Linked DNA regions of Sus scrofa. The protein of the gene in region 1 interacts with the protein of each later gene in a pairwise test. Links are inferred from orthologs where the notes say so. Each region holds a gene or a part of one and is shown in the gene's direction. Other genes may lie near its edges.

Evidence for each region.
Region 2: the proteins of TSEN54 (region 1) and CLP1 interact in binary tests that used the Homo sapiens proteins (3 or more experiments, as listed by UniProt). The link is inferred for Sus scrofa from reciprocal best matches to the Homo sapiens genes TSEN54 and CLP1.
Region 3: the proteins of TSEN54 (region 1) and TSEN2 interact in a two-hybrid assay, tested with the Homo sapiens proteins (2 studies listed by BioGRID and IntAct). The two-hybrid records come from large-scale screens. The link is inferred for Sus scrofa from reciprocal best matches to the Homo sapiens genes TSEN54 and TSEN2.

Annotation. Positions count from the first base shown.
Region 1 is NC_010454.4:5,845,722-5,850,910, reverse strand, and holds the end of TSEN54 (tRNA-splicing endonuclease subunit Sen54), read left to right. Parts: intron 1-143; coding exon 144-239; intron 240-440; coding exon 441-1,084; intron 1,085-2,021; coding exon 2,022-2,082; coding exon of another isoform or gene 2,083-2,086; exon of another isoform or gene 2,087-2,094; intron 2,095-2,410; coding exon 2,411-2,527; coding exon of another isoform or gene 2,528-2,579; exon of another isoform or gene 2,580-2,584; intron 2,585-3,232; coding exon 3,233-3,383; 3' UTR 3,384-3,741; downstream 3,742-5,189.
Region 2 is NC_010444.4:13,281,775-13,287,955, reverse strand, and holds CLP1 (polyribonucleotide 5'-hydroxyl-kinase Clp1), read left to right. Parts: upstream 1-2,747; 5' UTR 2,748-2,894; intron 2,895-3,064; exon of another isoform or gene 3,065-3,134; intron 3,135-3,612; exon of another isoform or gene 3,613-3,632; 5' UTR 3,633-3,654; coding exon 3,655-4,260; intron 4,261-4,663; coding exon 4,664-5,335; 3' UTR 5,336-5,799; downstream 5,800-6,181. UniProt on the Homo sapiens protein: Polynucleotide kinase that can phosphorylate the 5'-hydroxyl groups of double-stranded RNA (dsRNA), single-stranded RNA (ssRNA), double-stranded DNA (dsDNA) and double-stranded DNA:RNA hybrids. dsRNA is phosphorylated more efficiently than dsDNA, and the RNA component of a DNA:RNA hybrid is phosphorylated more efficiently than the DNA component.
Region 3 is NC_010455.5:68,507,434-68,513,514, forward strand, and holds part of TSEN2 (tRNA-splicing endonuclease subunit Sen2), read left to right. Parts: intron 1-2,084; coding exon 2,085-2,223; intron 2,224-6,081.

The DNA of each region.
Region 1 (5,189 bases):
CGTGCGCAGGTCTGCCCAGGGCCTTAGCCCTTGGGTGTGGCTCTGACCCTGACCCACTTTCTCTGGGCCAGTCCCTCACGCTTTGCGCTGGGAGCCCCAGGCTGAGCAGTGGGTCTGTGGCCCACCCCATTCTCACCCCACAGCTCCGTCCTGTCCCCTTACGAGAGGCAGCTGAACTTGGACGGCCAGCACTTGGAGGATCGGCACGGCAAGAGGAAGAGGAGGAGCGCCAGCTCTCGGTAATGCTCCCCATGTGGCCACCGCCCAGGGCGAGCCGGTGGCGGAGTGCTGGTGTTGGGGACCTTGGAGAATGCCTGGGCTTAAGAGTGGGGCTCGGGCGGCTCCGGCCCAGGCTCAGGGAGGCAGCAGGGCACGTGTGGGTCACGTGCACCTCAGCCATCAGGAGCAGATGTGCTGCATTTCCTCCCCACGTCCCTCAGGTCCATTAATAAGAAGCCCAAGGCCCTGGAGAACCCCCTGCAGGGGGTGGATGGGACACCCGAGAGCCTGGCAACCTCCAGCCCACCTCCCCGAAACCAGAACAGCCGATGCCCAGAGGAGAAACCCCAGGAGTCAAGCCCTGTAAAGGGCCCAGAGGGCCCCTCCCAGCTTCTGGGGTCCCTGGAGCCCTGCCCTGGTCTGCCCAGGGAGGGGGTGCGGTGCAGCCAGGAGAGTGGCAAAGTAGAGAATGGGGTCCAGGGGCCGTGTAAGCCACGCTGGAACTTTGAGCAAATCTCCTTCCCCAACATGGCTTCAGACGGCCGCCATACCCTCCTGCTTGCCCCCGCGCCAGAGCTGCTCCCGGCCAATGTCGCCGGGCGGGAGACGGACGCCGAGCCCTGGTGCCAGAAGCTCAACCAGCGGAAGGAGAAGCTCTCCAGGCGGGAACGGGAGCAGCAGGCAGAGGCCCAGCACTTCCGGGAGGACGTGAACTCAGATCCCGAGGTGCAGCGCTGCTCCAGCTGGCAGGAGTACAAGCAGCTGCTGCAGAGGCGGCACCTGCAGAAGACCCAGAGCCGCCCCCCACACCTCTGGGACCAGGCTGTCACCCCCTTGCTGAGTCCTGGTCAAGCAGACTCCCCAGGTACCCCCTTGCCCTGCCGTAGGCCGCTGGCCACTGAGGAATCGCGAGCCCTTGAGAGGGGCTCGGATTGACCTCGGCGGATGGGGGAGGAGAGAGCTGTTGGGGGAGTGGAACCCACAGGATGGTCCGTCCTGGGGAGCAGCAAAGAGCCCCAGGCGGGAGGGTTTAGAAAGGGTAAATCAGTGGCCAGGGAGAGGTGAGGAGAAACGAAAACTGCAACCTCGTCCTTAAGATCATATAAACAAGATGCATGTGGACAGCCCTGCCACCAGCCGGCTGCGGCCCCTGTTCTCCCTCCTCCGTTAGAAGGGAACAGGGAGCTGATAACGTTGGCCAAATAAAAGGAAGCTTTCCTGTACGCCCTGCACTTAAGAGTAGAGAACTAGTAAGGCAGGAATGGTATTATCAGATTCAAAACTACTTTTAATCCTTGGGGGAACATGGTGAGTTGTAAGTAACTAGAGTAGGGTTGCCAGGGCAGTTACATTTGAATTTCAGATAACTATTTTTTAGTATAAATATGTTCCAAATGTTGGATGGGACATACTTAATACTAAAACAGCAACTACTAAAAAAAAAACCCTGCAGAATTCCATGGTGGCTTAGCAGATTAAGGATCCAGCATTGAGTTCCCATCATGGCTCAGTGGCAACAAACCCGACTAGGATCCATGAGGAGGCGGGTTTGATCCCTGGCCTCACTCAGTGGGTTAAGGATCCAGCATTGCCTTGAGCTGTGGCGTAGGATCCAGCATTATCACTGCTGTGGCACAGGGTTCGATACCTGGCGGGGAACTTCCACGTGCTGCGGGCATGGCCATAAATAAATAATCTGCTAAATCTGGCCACCCTAAACTAGATGGCAGGTTCAGAAATGTCAGGGAAGTCTGGGTGGATGACTCCCCTCACCCACGCCTTAACTTTCACCATCTTTGTAGCCACAGCCCTTCAGCTTATCTCTGTGCTGCAGACAACACACCTTGCCGATGGAGGTGCCCGGTGAGTTTCCAGGTAGTGCCTGACTCCACAGTACTTTGGCTGCCAAGAGTCGGCAGCTGGGATGGGACTCCTGAAGTTGGGCAGGAGCTGGGGGAGCATTCCAGGGACCCTCTACTCTGGCTAACGTTCACGTGTGTCCAGGGGAGAGGGAGGAGTGACAGACAGTCATCCCCAGGGTTCCAAGATAAGGTAGCTGAGGCTCCTCGGTGCCCCTGGGTGGGATGGGTTGGGGGGGCTGTTCCCTGGACCTGAGGGAAGGAAAGGGTGGTGTGGAAAGAAAAAGTGGGGGAGAGAGCCCCTGTTTCCTAAGGTTTCTCACGGTCCTCAGGCTGCTCGAGAAGTCTGGAGGCTTGGAGATCAGCTTTGATGTCTACCAGGCTGACGCTGTGGCCACGTTCCGAAAGAATAACCCCGGCAAGCCCTACGTTCGGATGTGCATTAGTGGGTACGAGAGACCAGTGAGCACTGCTCCCAGGCTGCCGCCAGTTCTCTTGTAAACCAGGTGGACCTCCTCTCGGTGCTCCTGGCTAGTTGTTAGTCCCCGAGAAGAACCAGGGGTCCGGAGCGAGGCCTCAGAGCCGATGAGCGCTATGGGCACCCAAGCTTGCCAGTCCTCAGCTCTCATTCCTGGCATTTTTGAGTCGTCTCTCCTGTGCCACTTTAGTCCCAGGCTCAACTCAGCAGAAGGGATGTGAATCAGAGGGATTTTCAGGCTAAGAGTCCCCTTACCCAACCAGGGCTCTGAATCTTAGCAGAGTCATGCAGTCTGCGGACAGGAGAGCCCAGGGGCCAGACCTCTTGCACCCCGACTGCTGTGTGAGAGCTTCCCTTCCCTGGGAGCTTCAGAGGGCTGGGTTCTTTTTTTTTTTTTTTTTGGGGGGGTCTTTTTGCCTTTTCTAGGGCCGCACCCACGGCATATGGAGGTTCCCAGGCTAGGGGTCTAATCGGAGCTGTAGCTGCCAGCCTACACCAGAGCCACAGCAACGCCGGATCCTTAACCCACTGAGCAAAGCCAGGGATCGAACCGCAACCTCATGATTCCTAGTCAGATTCATTAACCACTGCGCCACGATGGGAACTCTGAGGGCTGGATTCTCAAATCTTATGGGCAGCCCCTGTTCAGGTCTCAGTCTCACCTTGATTCTTGCAGATTTGATGAGCCAGTCCCAGACCTCTGCACCCTCAAGCGGTTGTCCTACCAGAGCGGGGATGTTCCTCTGATCTTTGCCCTGGTGGATCACGGAGACATCTCCTTCTACAGCGTCAGGGACTTCACGCTGCCCAAGGATGTGGAACACTGACCACGCAGCTCTGGCAGGGCCTGGGGTCTGCTCTGGGGGACCTGGACTGTCTACTCTCAGGGACCATCTCAGTTGCCTCCTACACCCAGACTCTGATCTGTAGCTTCAGGGGCTAGTCTGGGCCTTGGCCCCGGGTGTCTGGCGCTTGCAGGAGAGCAAAGCCTTGCCCCCTGCCTGGCTGCTGCAGCGCTTCCAAGCCCCACGTCTGAGAGTGCTGCTTTGCAGTGATCCCCTGCAAACTCAGGACTAGATTTCAGAGACCCAGCCAGGTGGGGCAGAAGAGAGGACTCTGTGCCTTTAATTGAGAGGGTGCCTGCTTCAAGCGATACAGCCAAAGCCATTAAAAAAAAAAAAAAAATCCCCTTTTCTGCTGTGACTGAGTATACTGGATGAGGCCTCCCTATCCCCACCATCCCACTGTCCGAGGATGGGGCCCCCAGGCCCTCACCCCTGCTTTGCCCACCCACAGAGAGCGCTGCTTTCTCGCGGGCAAGAGCTAAGAGGGCAGGAATGCGACCCCTCGCCTATCTGAGGGAAGTCCCAGACCTGTAGTTAGCTTGGCTTTCAGAAGGGTAGCCCAAGGAGGGAAGCTGGCACCCATTGGTCCTCCCCTAAACGCAGCGGAGGTCCGGGTGGAGGAATGGCCCGAACCCTAGTCGTTGGGAGCTGTGTGGTGCAGCGCGCCATGCACGCCCAGACCTCTGCTCCCGGCCTTCGTCATGCTAAAAACTCCGGTCACAGTTGCTGGCCCTCGGGGCCTCTGGTGACAACGACTTGTAGGAGGGTACAGGCTTGGGGCCCACCCAGAGAGGAGGCGCCTCTTGGCGACGCCTCTCTCCCCAAGCCACCTGGCTCTTGGGTCCCGAAACTTGGCCCTGTGTCAGACGTCACCCTCTGATTGGGCTGGGCGCTTTCAGGAAGAGCCAGCCAGGCTATGCCCCTCCCTCGGGGCCGCTCCGGACCGGGTTGTGGGAGGGACCTCCCCCTTTATGGAGTTGGGCCTGGAAGGTGGCCCGGAGCCACTTCGCGTTCCGGGAACTATTTTCCTCCCCGGGAGGCGGCGGGACACTGGGCGCGGCGTGCCGTCCTGCGGCCAGGTGCGCGCAGGTGAGGTCAGGGGCGGGCCGGCAGTGCCTCGTGCATATTCACACGGGTCGCAGCCCCGCCCCCGCGCTCCCGGGAGCCGCGGATTGGCCAGGGCGCGGTCCCCGCCCCTCGAGGGCGCACTCCTTGCGCCCCCGCCTCGACGGCGCAGGGCTTCAGGAGGCGGGGCCAGGCTCGGGGGGCGGGCTGCTGGGGCCCGACGCTCTCTCTGGGTTCCGCCCGCCGGGCCGGCTCGCCCTTTATGTAAATAGAGGCGGCTCCGCCCCCAGCTCGCCGCGCCGGAGGTGAGCAGGAAGGAGACGGCCGCCCAGCAGCCCGTGGGCCGGCGGCAGGGTGAACAGAGCCGGCGGCGGGCGCTGAGGAACGCGGAGGCCTCCGGCGGGAGCCGGCCTGGGGTTCCAGGTGAGGTGCGAGCCGGGACCTAATGAGCAGGGCCCGCCCCCTCGGGGCTCCCGCCACTCTGGGCGAGGAGGCAGGGGAGGGCCAGGACCCTTGGCTTCCCTGTGCCGGGTGGGGAGGGCTGCGCCCAAGTCCGCTCGCCTCGCCCAGGATCCCGTCGTTCCGCTCGACGAGGAGAAAGACACCTGTAGGAAGTGCCGCTGGGAACTTTTCTGTGACTGATCTGCCCGCGATTACGGAATTTGGGTTTCGGGTTTGCACAACAGCGTTGGCTTTGGGGAGCAGGGAAACAGGTGCTCGGCC
Region 2 (6,181 bases), on another chromosome or scaffold:
GAAGGGAAATGTAAGCGGACGGAGTTCCCGTCGTGGCTCAGTGGTTAGCGAATCCAACTAGGAACCGTGAGGTTGCAGGTTCGATTCCTGGCCTCGCTCAGTGGGTTAAGGATCTAGCGTTGCCGTGAGCTGTGGTGTAAGTCACAGATGAGGCTTGGATCTGGCATTGCTGTGGCTGTGATATAGGCCGGCAGCTGTGGCTCCGATTAGACCCCTAGCCTGGGAACTTCCATATGCCTTGGATGTGGCCCTGGAAAAGACAAAAAAAAGGGGGGGGGAATGTAAGTGGAGGAGGAATTCGTCGAGGAAAATAGTGGGAAGTGGGAAAAAGAAAGTGAGTAGTTGTTGAGAGCAAGGATCGAAAGTTTAGAAGCAAAAAAGATAACAGGTGATTTAACTCAGGAAGAAAATAAGGGTTAAGCTGGAAAGGAGAATAAAAAAGACATGTGAGGACAGTATTTATTTGGGGATGGGGCAGAGATGACTGGGGTGCTTAGTGAAAGATTGAAAGTGAGGAAAGAGAGTGCAGGGGAAACATAGATGGTTTAAATGTTGTGCCCCGACTATTTCTGTGTTTAAGAGGCAAAACAGAGAGTGGTCTAAAGGAGGGGAGGGGTTTCTTCTCCCTAAATTCAGCTTGAGATGGCTACCCAATATCCAAATAAAGATGACCTTCAGAAAACTGGGAGAAACAGTCTCAAGGCAGAGCGTGGAGGCAAAGAAACAGATCTTAGGAGAAAGACTGCAGGAAACAGGAGAGGGTGAGCTGACTCGGAGGGAAATTTGCAAATGGAAGACCAGAACGGAACTGCTGAAGAATCAATGAAAGATGAGGAAATACCTAATAGTTAATTGGAGAACTAATAACATGCATGGAGAATGAATTAAACAATTAAAGCAAACCCTCAAAGAAAGAACTGTGAGAAGTGAAGGTGTCACTCTTGAAAGTGAATGCTGGAGTTTCCTGGTGGTGCAGTGGGTTAAGGATTTGGTGTTGTCACTGCCACAGTTGGGGTCTCTACTGGGGCGAGGGTCGAATTCCTGGCCTCAGAACTTCTGCATGCCTGAGGTGGGGCCAAAAAAAAAAAAAAAAAAAAGTGAATGCTAAGGTAGGGCCAGTGGGAAACAAGGCAATCCAGAAAATCTCCCCAGGCTTTTCCACCCAGATTAACCAGGTAAACTGGACTAAAAAAAGTATGCATCTGTAAGCAGAGCTGACAATCACAGTGTGTTTGTACCTCACAGGATTCTTTGAGGATTAAATTTACCCCTGTAAAGCCCACAGAACACTATGTGACATCTAGCACTGTGCGTTCACTATTATTATAAGTGGACTCAAACTCCAAAGTCTTGGGTTTGAGAACTAGCTTGGGCAAGTCCCTTCATCTATCTTAGTCTCCTCCCTCACCTGAAATTGAGTAGAGCTGACTTGACAGGTGGCTGTGAAAGAGGATAGCTGAAAGGGTTTTGTGAAATGTAAACTACAAATGGATGGCATCTTTGTAGCTCCCCCTCCTCAACCTCTAATAAAAACTTAAGAGCTAAGGAATTCCCCTCCTGATGCAGAGGAAATGAATCCGACTAAGAATCGTGAGGTCGTAGGTTCGATCCCTGGTCTTGCCTAGTGGGTTAAGGATGCAGCGCAGCCGTGAGCTGTGGTGTAGGTGGCAGACGCAGCTTGGATCTGGCGTTGCTGTGGCTGTGGTATAGGCCAGCAGCTGTAGCTCTGATTAGACCCCTAGCCTGGGAACCTCCATATGCCACTGGTACGGCCCTAAAAGGACAAAAAGATAAATAAAACAATTTTGGCTGGGTATTGTTTTTATCCATATTTTACAATTAAGAAACTAGGTGTTAGAAAGTTTAAGCCCGTGATTTGCCCAAAGTCCCACAGTAAGCAAGCGGCATAGCAAAGAATACAAGATTCCAAGTCCAAGCTCATCAGAAGAGTACAGACATTGCCCAACCTGTTGTTTGTTGGATAAATGACTGACCTTGTATAACTGCCAGGGATTTAGGGAGGGAAACAGAGTTCCCAACAAAACACCTTGATCAATAAGAGGAGTGGGTATTTTCTTGTAATGCAGCAGGTTAAGGATCTGGCATTGTCACTGCAGCGGCTTTGGTCACTGCTGTGCCGCGGATTTGATTCCTGGCCCAGAAATTTCCACACACCACGGGTGGGGCCAAAAATAAATGAGAGGTTGTTGGGAAATGACTGACTTACAGAGTAAGTGGAAGAATTCTTGCACTTTTATTCAAAAAACATTTTTTTAATGACCCCTAGGGGCCAAGCACTGTATCAGTTAATTGGTGACGGTTCAGGTCCGGGTTGGTCTCTGTTTATGCTGTTTTCCTCCACTTTCTCTACCCCTAGGTTTTCTCGTATCCAAATGGAGTTTCCCTAATTTCCCCGCTTCCAGGCGACCATGGGACCTAAATAATGTCCCCTTCCCTCCGTCTTTCCCCTTCCCGGAGGGCAGTTGAGCGGAGAACAGCGGTGAGCATCCGCATCCTCTGCGCTTTGGTGTCCATTGACCCTTCCGCCAGTCCCCGCCCCGCGCGGGGGCGTAACCGCCACTCCACCCCCTTCCCTCCCGTGGAAACGCGAACTTCGGCGGCCGCCGCCCCGCCCACCGCTGACATCACGATCAAAACAATCCTTTAACTACAAGTCCCAGAAGGCCCAGCGACTGCGCCAGGTGGTCGCTCGCAGCGGTTCTGGCACGACTACATGTCCCAGGGAGCACCGCGCGTCCACATCTCCTCTACTGCGCAAGTAAGGAAACGCCCAAGTTTCCGGCGTGGATCTAGGCGAGCGCGGTTAGCAGTTGGTCTGAGTTTCTGCCTAGGAGGGCTTTTTGATTTACAAGGTTGGGTTCGTGCCTGTACAGGTAAGGTAATAAGCTTAGGAACGCACCGTCGCCTCCTTGGAGCGTGGACAGGTTTCACTGTCTAGGGAGGCTAGGACAAACGCTGGATTTAGAGCTGCGGTCTGGGATCAGAGATAATTCTTCGCTTTTCCTCGGCGTTTTCTAGTTCACGAACTTTTTTTCTCCTCCAGCAATCCCTGTTAATCCCCAGAACTTTGTGTGTGGAAGGGGAAGTGCCTCCAGTTGACAACTGAGGAAGAGGTGATTGATTTCTCTAAAGACACTACCTAGTAGTTGCTGAGCAGGGCCTTAATTCTGTTTTCTAAGTCGGAAACCGGAAACCGATATTCTCTGCTTTACATCGAATTACTAACGCCTTTCTTGTTGACTAAGAGGCTTAGGGAGTGGCCATCTGTTGCCTTTTCAACTCTGGAATATCCCAGTTGAGTGGTGAAGGGGGCGATGAAGGCGATGAAATCAAGTCTGTCAATCTGTAGAGACTGCTTTCTTTTTATTTCTGAGTCATTTATTCCCTCGGTGTATTTATAGAGGTGCCTTTGGGTTGTCTAGCCCCATCCTAGGTACTAGAGTTCCAACCCTTACATTCTTGTGAGGGTAGACAGACAATAAACAAATATATAGTGAAGCGGATGGTGATCAGAGATAAGGAGAAAAATAAAGCAGGGTAAAGAGAAACTGCCAGTGAAGGATTTTGAACTGAGTCCTAACTTATGTTTAGATCTGACATTTGTGTTCTAGGCACAACAACTACGCAGAAAAGATGGGAGAGGAGGCCAATGATGACAAGAAGCCAACAACTAAATTTGAACTCGAGCGAGAAACAGAACTTCGCTTTGAGGTGGAGGCATCTCAGTCAGTTCAGCTGGAGCTGCTGGCTGGCATGGCAGAAATCTTTGGCACAGAGCTGACCCGAAACAAGAAATTCACCTTTGATGCTGGTGCCAAGGTGGCTGTTTTCACTTGGCATGGCTGTTCGCTACAGCTCAGTGGTCGCACCGAGGTGGCTTATGTCTCCAAAGACACCCCTATGTTGCTTTATCTCAACACTCACACTGCCTTGGAGCAGATGCGGAGGCAGGCAGAGAAGGAAGAAGAGCGAGGTCCCCGGGTGATGGTAGTGGGCCCCACTGATGTGGGCAAGTCCACAGTGTGCCGTCTACTGCTCAACTATGCAGTGCGCTTGGGCCGCCGTCCCACTTACGTGGAGCTGGATGTAGGCCAGGGCTCTGTGTCCATCCCTGGTACCATGGGGGCCCTCTACATTGAACGGCCAGCAGATGTTGAAGAGGGATTCTCCATCCAGGCTCCTTTGGTGTATCATTTTGGTTCCACCACTCCTGGAACCAACATCAAGCTTTATAATAAGGTCAGAGCCAGGGCCAAGGTGGGGTGGAGGGAAGGGCTGCTGTCAGGGTTGAAAACTGTGCAGAAGTTTGCTAATTAAAACTCTTTGCTCCCTCTCGGCTGGTATATTGCTCCATGATTTTAGGAAAGACAATTTGAAAATAAGTCCATCTCAAACTGTTAAACGTTTCTGCGGACCCATTCTTAAGTAATTTATTAAATTTCCATTTCGGACATGAAACAGAGGAGACAGAAGAAGCAACGCAAAATAAAAATTAAATCCATGTTACGGGGTCAAAACCACAGCCATGAAAAATGTCATTTTTCTTATACCTGATACCACTTGTTCTAAAGAAAGATAAAATAGCCTTGGGTTTGTTTCTTTTGGTGTTTTTTTTTCCTCACTTTGCTTCTTTCTTTTGCAGATTACATCTCGCTTAGCAGATGTGTTCAACCAAAGATGTGAAGTGAACAGAAGGGCCTCTGTGAGTGGCTGTGTCATTAACACCTGTGGCTGGGTCAAGGGCTCTGGTTACCAGGCCCTGGTGCATGCGGCCTCAGCTTTTGAGGTGGATGTCGTTGTGGTCCTGGATCAAGAACGACTGTACAATGAGCTGAAACGAGACCTGCCTCACTTCGTACGCACTGTGCTGCTCCCTAAATCAGGGGGTGTGGTTGAGCGCTCCAAGGACTTCCGGCGGGAATGTAGGGATGAACGAATCCGTGAGTATTTCTACGGATTCCGGGGCTGTTTCTATCCCCACGCCTTTAACGTCAAATTTTCAGATGTGAAAATCTACAAAGTCGGGGCACCCACCATCCCAGACTCCTGTTTGCCCTTGGGCATGTCTCAGGAGGACAATCAGCTCAAGCTGGTCCCTGTCACTCCTGGCCGAGATATGGTGCACCACCTCCTGAGTGTTAGCACTGCCGAGGGCACAGAGGAGAACCTTTCTGAGACCAGTGTGGCTGGCTTCATTGTGGTGACCAGTGTGGACCTGGAGCATCAAGTGTTTACTGTGCTCTCCCCAGCCCCCCGCCCCCTGCCTAAGAACTTCCTTCTCATCATGGATATCCGGTTCATGGATCTTAAGTAGAGATCAGCAGGAAGCTTTGCTGCTTGGGGGCGTAGAGATCTCCTGGCCATCACAAAGGCAGATGGGTGAAGTGTGGGAATCTCTTGAGACCAGGCTGACCAGTAAGTCATGGACTAGCAGAAAGCATATATTCTACCTCTTAAAACAGGTGATAATAACCTAACCCTTTTGATCTTGAACCAAAAGGAAAACTGTAAGAATATAATTGGTTTCTTAGATTACCTAAGGTGTCACTTTGAATTCTTTGAGTTCCAGAAAAATCCCATTTCATTCACTGTGCTACTATGTGGACTAATTCTGAGGAGGGATTTTTTTTTTTTAATATTACTGCTTTATATTCTGTATATAGTACTTGTTATCTCGTTTATGCAGGGTGAAAGAGTGAATTTGAAGGACTCCTTCCAATAAAGTTCATATTTGGGAAAAAAAACTATTTTAATAAATATTTTTGCCATATCACAGAAGTTGGTATAAGTTGTTTTTTTTAATTTTGTTCTTTTCCTCATTGTGGAAACATTATTGGGGTAACTTATTGTTGAATGTCTAGAGAAAAGGAAAGCAAAGAGTTCACCTGTGAGCTTAGCGAGTGGCTTGGGTCACTGCTGTGGTTTGGGTTCAATCCCTGGCCTGGGAAACTTCCACATGCCTCTGCCAAGGCCAAAAAAAGAAACACAAAAAAATGTAAATTGAGTTTTCAGGGGATAAGCTAGGAAAGCCTGTTCTTTTTGATCTCTTGCAAATGATTAGTGTTCCTAGTTTGGACTTGTATTATTAAGTATCTGATGCTCTTCATTCATTCTTTCCACAAATTTTCATCATACACCTACCATGTAACATGGGCCATTC
Region 3 (6,081 bases), on another chromosome or scaffold:
ATGGAGGTTCCCAGGCTAGGGGTCCAATCACAGCTGCAGCTGCTGGCCTACACCACAGCCACAGCAACGCCAGATCTGAGCCATGTCCACAGCTTACACCACAGCTCATGGCAACACCAGATCCTTAACCCACTGATCAAGGCCGGGGGTGGAACCCACATCCTCATGAATACTAGTTGGATTTGTTACCACTGAGCCATCATGGGAACTCCCTACCTGCAGTACTTCTGATCCTTATCTCCATCTCTAAGAGTTATAGCTGAGGTCACTGAGGCTCGGGAAATAAGCAGGTCACACAGCTGGTCTGGATAGAGTTTGGGTTTGAACCTGGTTGGAGGCAGCTCCAGTGCCCGTGGTTTTGTGCTATAACTGCTGCCCTGAGAAGAACGTTAGTCCCATCATAGGTCTGTGCCAGGCCTCCCTCTGATAGAAGGATTAGGGATGGTGGCGCAGGGTGAGGGAGTGATGGGGGCTTCAGCTCACTCTACTCTGCTTTCTGAACTTTGGCCCATTGGACCACGTGAACATGTTACCTAATCAAAATAATTCACATTAAAATTAAGAGGAAAAAGGTAAGCAGAACTAGTACCCATGAAGATGCGGGTTCGATCCCTGGCCTTGTTCAATGGGTCAGGGATCCAGTGTTGCCATGAGCTACAGTGTAGGTTGCAGACTCGGCTCGGATCCCATATGGCTGTGGCCATGTTATAGGCCGGCAGCTACGGCTCTGATTAGACCCCTAGCCTGGGAACTTCCATATGCCGCAGGTGTGGCCCTAAAAAGCCAAGAAAAAAACAAAGAAAGTAATTGTAGTCTGTTCTTCAGAGTACATCTTTTTATCATTCCTCAGATTCTAACTATATACAACTTCTTCACATATTTGGAAACAGGTGTCTGACTGATGGGTGACTCATTTTTCCAGATGGTGGCCTCTGTAGCCCACCCTGCCCCCTCCCCTGGGCCTCAGCTGACATTTGTCAGAGCATCACAGCTGTTCCTCGGCCTTGGAAACTCAGGGGCTGCCCAAAGTGGAAGTTCAGTCTTCTCTACAAGACTGTTCCTTGTCTGGGGGCAGCAGGATGGGGGTGGGGTGTGGATTTGAACATCACACACACAGAATTTCCACCTTAGGAACAACTGTGTAAAAAAAAAAAAAAAAACAGCACCCAAACTCTAGTTCACATTTATGGTGTTAACGTCCCAGGCTAAAACACACTGAGTGAGTCTCACTGCATGACTGAACCATAAACCAACTGAAGAACTGATCTAGTTACTGAGTGCTGAAAACTTGTCAAACTTAGCTTTTTTTTTCTGTTACTGTTTTGACATATCAGAATGTTCTTTGAACTGAACCGGTCTCAGTGTCTTCAAGTCCCACCTTAGAAACAAGATTCTCTTCTAAGCAGTTAGGTTTTTTGTGTCATGCGATAAATTCCCTAGTTCCAAAGACTAAATGGAGCATCTTTTTTTTAAAGCTTATCAGAATTATTTTTTGACTTTTCTGGATGTGGCCTGCCATAGCATAGGTAGGTCTGTGGCCATTGGAACGTGCACCCCCAGCTTTGGGTGACACCTGGCCACCCCGTTCCTCTGCCTGGACATTTGTTCCTTTTCCTCTCCTTCCAGCACTGCCCTCTTCCCAACACGCAGGGCTTGGCTGCTCCCATCTCCAGTGCTGCTGTCTCGGGGTGGCAGGGGGAGCCTCAGACGGGAGTTACATGCATAATTGTAAATTTCCTGGGATGCACATTAAAAGGGTTTTTTTAAAAAAAAAAAATACAAAGTCAGCTGAAATTGATTTCTGTTATCAACATAGTTTATTTAATACAACACAGTCAAAATTACTGAGATAGTTCCCATTCTTGTCTTTGTAATTCAGTATGTATTTACGCTGCAGCATGTCTCAGTTCAGGCTGGCAACCACCGCACCAGACAGCACAGGTCTGGATCTTCTGGTTAAACCCTTTGTTATGGGCCCCGTGCTTGTTTATCTTCAGCTCATACTTAGTGTGGACATTGATTCCCGGGCCAGATAACAGGTGGACACATACATATTAATGCCTTGTTTTCCCCTGCAACTTTAGGAGCCTTTAACGATTGTGAAACTCTGGAACGCTTTCACCAGAGTCCAGCCTACGTTCAGGACCACGTACATGGCTTACCATCACTTCCGAAGCAAGGGCTGGGTGCCCAAAGTGGGACTTAAGTATGGAACAGATTTACGTAAGTGATTCTTGGCTTGGCAGGTGCAAGAACCAGGGTTGGCATCAGATGAGTTATATGCACTATTGCTGGGTTTTTTTTCTAAAATGATGTCCTGGCTTAGATAAGAATGTTTGGATTGCAGTGGAGGGTGTGTCCAGAATGATCAAGAAAACAGTCAAGGGGAAAAGCCTGGGATAGAAGCCCGCAGCAAGTCAGGCTTTTCTTCTTATCTGCTCTGGGATCCTAGAAGAGCCCACGGCCTCTCATTAGCATGTGGTCTAGCTGTGTCAGGCAGCCCTGATCCTCTGGAGATGATGGCAGATGTGACAGTACCATTACTAGTGGTGGTGTAACCATGGTAGTAATCACGGCTGTCACTTACTGGGCCCTTGCTGTGTGCCAAGCATTGTATGAAGTGATGAACATGCATGAACTCCTTTAATCCTCACGGCATCTTTATGAGGTCAGTGCTCATGACCCTCCATTTTCTGATAGGGAGACTGTAGTTTTGAGAGAAAGGGTCATTTGCCCCTAAAAGGTTCCAGGGCCAGTAACTACAGAGCTGGGCTCTGACTTTTGGAGCCCAGGGTCTTGGAAACTCCTACACAGTCCTACCTCCCTGATCTTTGTGAAGGTGAGGAGTCTGGATACAGGTGAGCGCTTCCTTCGCCGGGTGATTGCTGAGGGTCTCATGTGAGCCAGACCTTCTTAGGTGCTGAAAACACAGAGGTAAACAGATAGAGCTGCTTGGGTGGAGCTACTGGCAGGGGAGACCAAGAAGCCAGCACCTGAAATTACATGTACTGTGATTTCAGGGAACTAATTAAAATAAAGCAGAGTAAAGGGGCAGTCAGGGCGGTTAGAGAAGGACTCTCTGCAAGATGTGCCCCAAACATCAGCCTCAGAAATGTGACCACAGTGAGAGAATGGAACACATACAGTCTGGGGAAGAACACAGGAAGCATCAAGGAGCAGAAAGTGCAAAGGTCCTGGGGCAGGAATAAGCCTGGCCAGTCTCAGAAGCAGTACAAAGACAGTGCGTCTAGAACTTAAGAGACCCCAGGGAGTAGTGACAGAAGGTGGTGTCAGGGTTCAGCTGGGGAAGGTCATGTAGGACCTGACAAAGACCTGGGATGTCATTCTGGTAGTTGGAAGTCTTGGGAGATTTAAGTAAAGGAGTGGTTTTAAATGTAATGACAATTTAATAGGACCTTTGCTTTCTTGCTAATAGGGGCAGCAGGGAGGGAAGCAGAGGGAATAGTTCGGAAACTGACCTTGACCTGCCTACAGAAGGGATGAATATCAGGTTTGCTGTAAGAGGAATTCAGAATAATGCCTGGATATTTGGAGTTGTGTTTTGGACGTAGTAAGTCAGCCTGGTGGAGCTAGTGCAGAGATGGACGATTCTGGAGCCCAGAAGAGCCTTGAGGTGTAAACATGGAGGGTTGTGTAAGGGGCACCTGAAGCCTCCGGACTGGGTGAGTGAGCATAGACCCTTGGGGCTCCTTTCAGCCCCAATGCTGCTCCTTTGTTAAATCCCTGAACCTTTCCCACATCCACCATTCGAGGGTGCTTCCTGGGTGATCTTCAGAATTGTGTGTGAGGTTCAAACAACAATTTCAAGGTATATGAGAGGCCTTCCAGGAAGTCATGCCCCCCAGGTCTTCAGAGCTGTCCCATAATTGTTCCATATGCTTTTGAGCCTTGCCTTTTTAAATATTCAAAGAAAGCCAGTTCAAGCTTTTAGATCCTTAAATGCTCTAAAATTGAGTGTGCTTAACCTAGAATCATAGAATGGTCCCAGTAGCCCCTGAAATCTTATTCAGTATATTGTAGATTGGTGTATTTTTCTGTGTCAAGAGTCTGTAACTTTCACTAAATTCTCAGAGGGGGTCAGCAGTCATAAATAAAGGTTACAGAGTGCCCATTCCTCTAAGATAAAGGGTTCCTATTCTTGCTTCCAAGCCTGGATTTCAGGTAGAGATACCTTCATTCGGGGTCAGCACACACATGGTCAGGATCAGCTCAAGGTCAGTCTGCTAGGTTTCCAGACAATTGCAGTTGCCCACAGGTCACGTCCTTTAAATAAGTGATGTGCCTCTTTCCTTCCTTGGCTTCCCGCCCTGCTCTCCTTTTCATGTTCCTGTAGAATAGCCTCTCAGTGTAAATGCCTGTCAGGCCTTGGCCAGTGTGCTCATTATGTGGGTGAAATTTGAGCAGGATTTTCCAGTCCACAAGGCTGCAGTGATGCACTAAGAGGTGGGGGAGGGGACAGAAAGAACTCTTTGGGCTCACAGCCGGCTCTACCTTTTCCTGACTGTGTGACTTCAGAGAGGTTACTTCATCTCTCTGAGCTTCCATTCACTCATCATGTAACATGGATAACATTTTTATAAAAAAATGTTACAAGGGAGGAGACCTTTGGTGAGTTCCTGTAAGCATGTATTTTTAGTACACAAGCCACTTTTGTGGATGGTGGGTAGAGAGAACTATCCTAATTTAAAAATATACTGCCTTGGACTTCCCTGGTAGCTCCATGTGTTAAGGATCCAGCATTGTCACTGCTATGGTGCGGGTTCAATCCCTGGCCCAGAAACTTCTGCAGGCACAGCCAATAAATAAATATAAAAACAGGAGTTCCCGTCATGGCGCAGCAGAAACAAATCCAACTAGGAACCCTGAGGTTGCAGGTTCCATCCCTGGCCTCACTCAGTGGGTTAAGGATCCAATGTTGCCATGAGCTGTGGTGTAGGTCACAGATGCAGCTCAGATCTGGTGTGGGTGTGGCTGTGGCTGTGGAATAGGCCAGCAGCTATAGCTCAGATTAGACCCCTAGCCTGGGAACCTCCATATGCCATAGATGCAGCCCTAAAAAAAAAAAGACTAAATAAATAAATAAACTACCTTATAAGGATGGATGAAAGGACAAACAGATGGATAGACTTTGTTCGTTTTGTTTTTTTAGGGCTGCACCCTAGGCATATGGAAGTTCCCAGGCTAGGGATTAAGTCAGAGCTGTAGCCACTGGCCTACACCACAGCCACACCAGATCCAAGCCACGGCTGTGACCTACACCACAGCTCATGGCAATGCCGGATCCTTAACCCACTAAGCGAGGCCAGGGATTGAACCTGTGTCCTCATGGATGCTAGTCAGATTCGCACTGAACCACAATGGGAACTCCTGGATAGACCTTTTTTTAAAAGGAAATAAATACATCAGTGGCTGTCTCCCACCTCCCTAAGGCCTTTGTCCCCCCAGGAGGGGCGCGCCATGCACTTGGAGCCCCTGTGTAATTAACATGAGCTCAGGTTTCTGGCCCAACAGCACCCTGGGGACTGTCTTCACATCCCAGCTTTAGCGGAGTTCAGGAGCAGTGCTAGCCTGGGACAAGACCAGTGGCTTCCTAAACTTGACCTCTCTTCTAGGCACAGCTAAAATTATTATTTTAGTTTTGAAGGCCAGTGAAGGAAGTTTCTGCTCACAGAGGTAATGACTCCTGACAAAAGGGCCATGATGAATTCCACATCTTATCAGGGAACCTCTTCCCTTGACTAAGTCTTGTCAATCAAATTTCATACCAGGAGCAGTACTTGGAACAGGTGCAGCCACTGGGTCAGTTGGCCAGTTGACCTTGAGTGCCCACTGATGAAAACCAGGCCAGAAACCCCTTGGGAGCCTTTCCTTACAGCTCCCCACCCCCGCCCCCGCCCTTGAGGCTGGTGGCACTCACCTACTTCTGTAGCTGAGGTTTAGAAGGGTCAGGAAAGCTGCTATGGACCCCACAGCTAGTAACTGTGATGACTGGGGCTCTTTGAGTCCCAGCTCTGGATACTTCCCAACACACCTCACTGATGTTGCCAGCCAGAAAGCTAA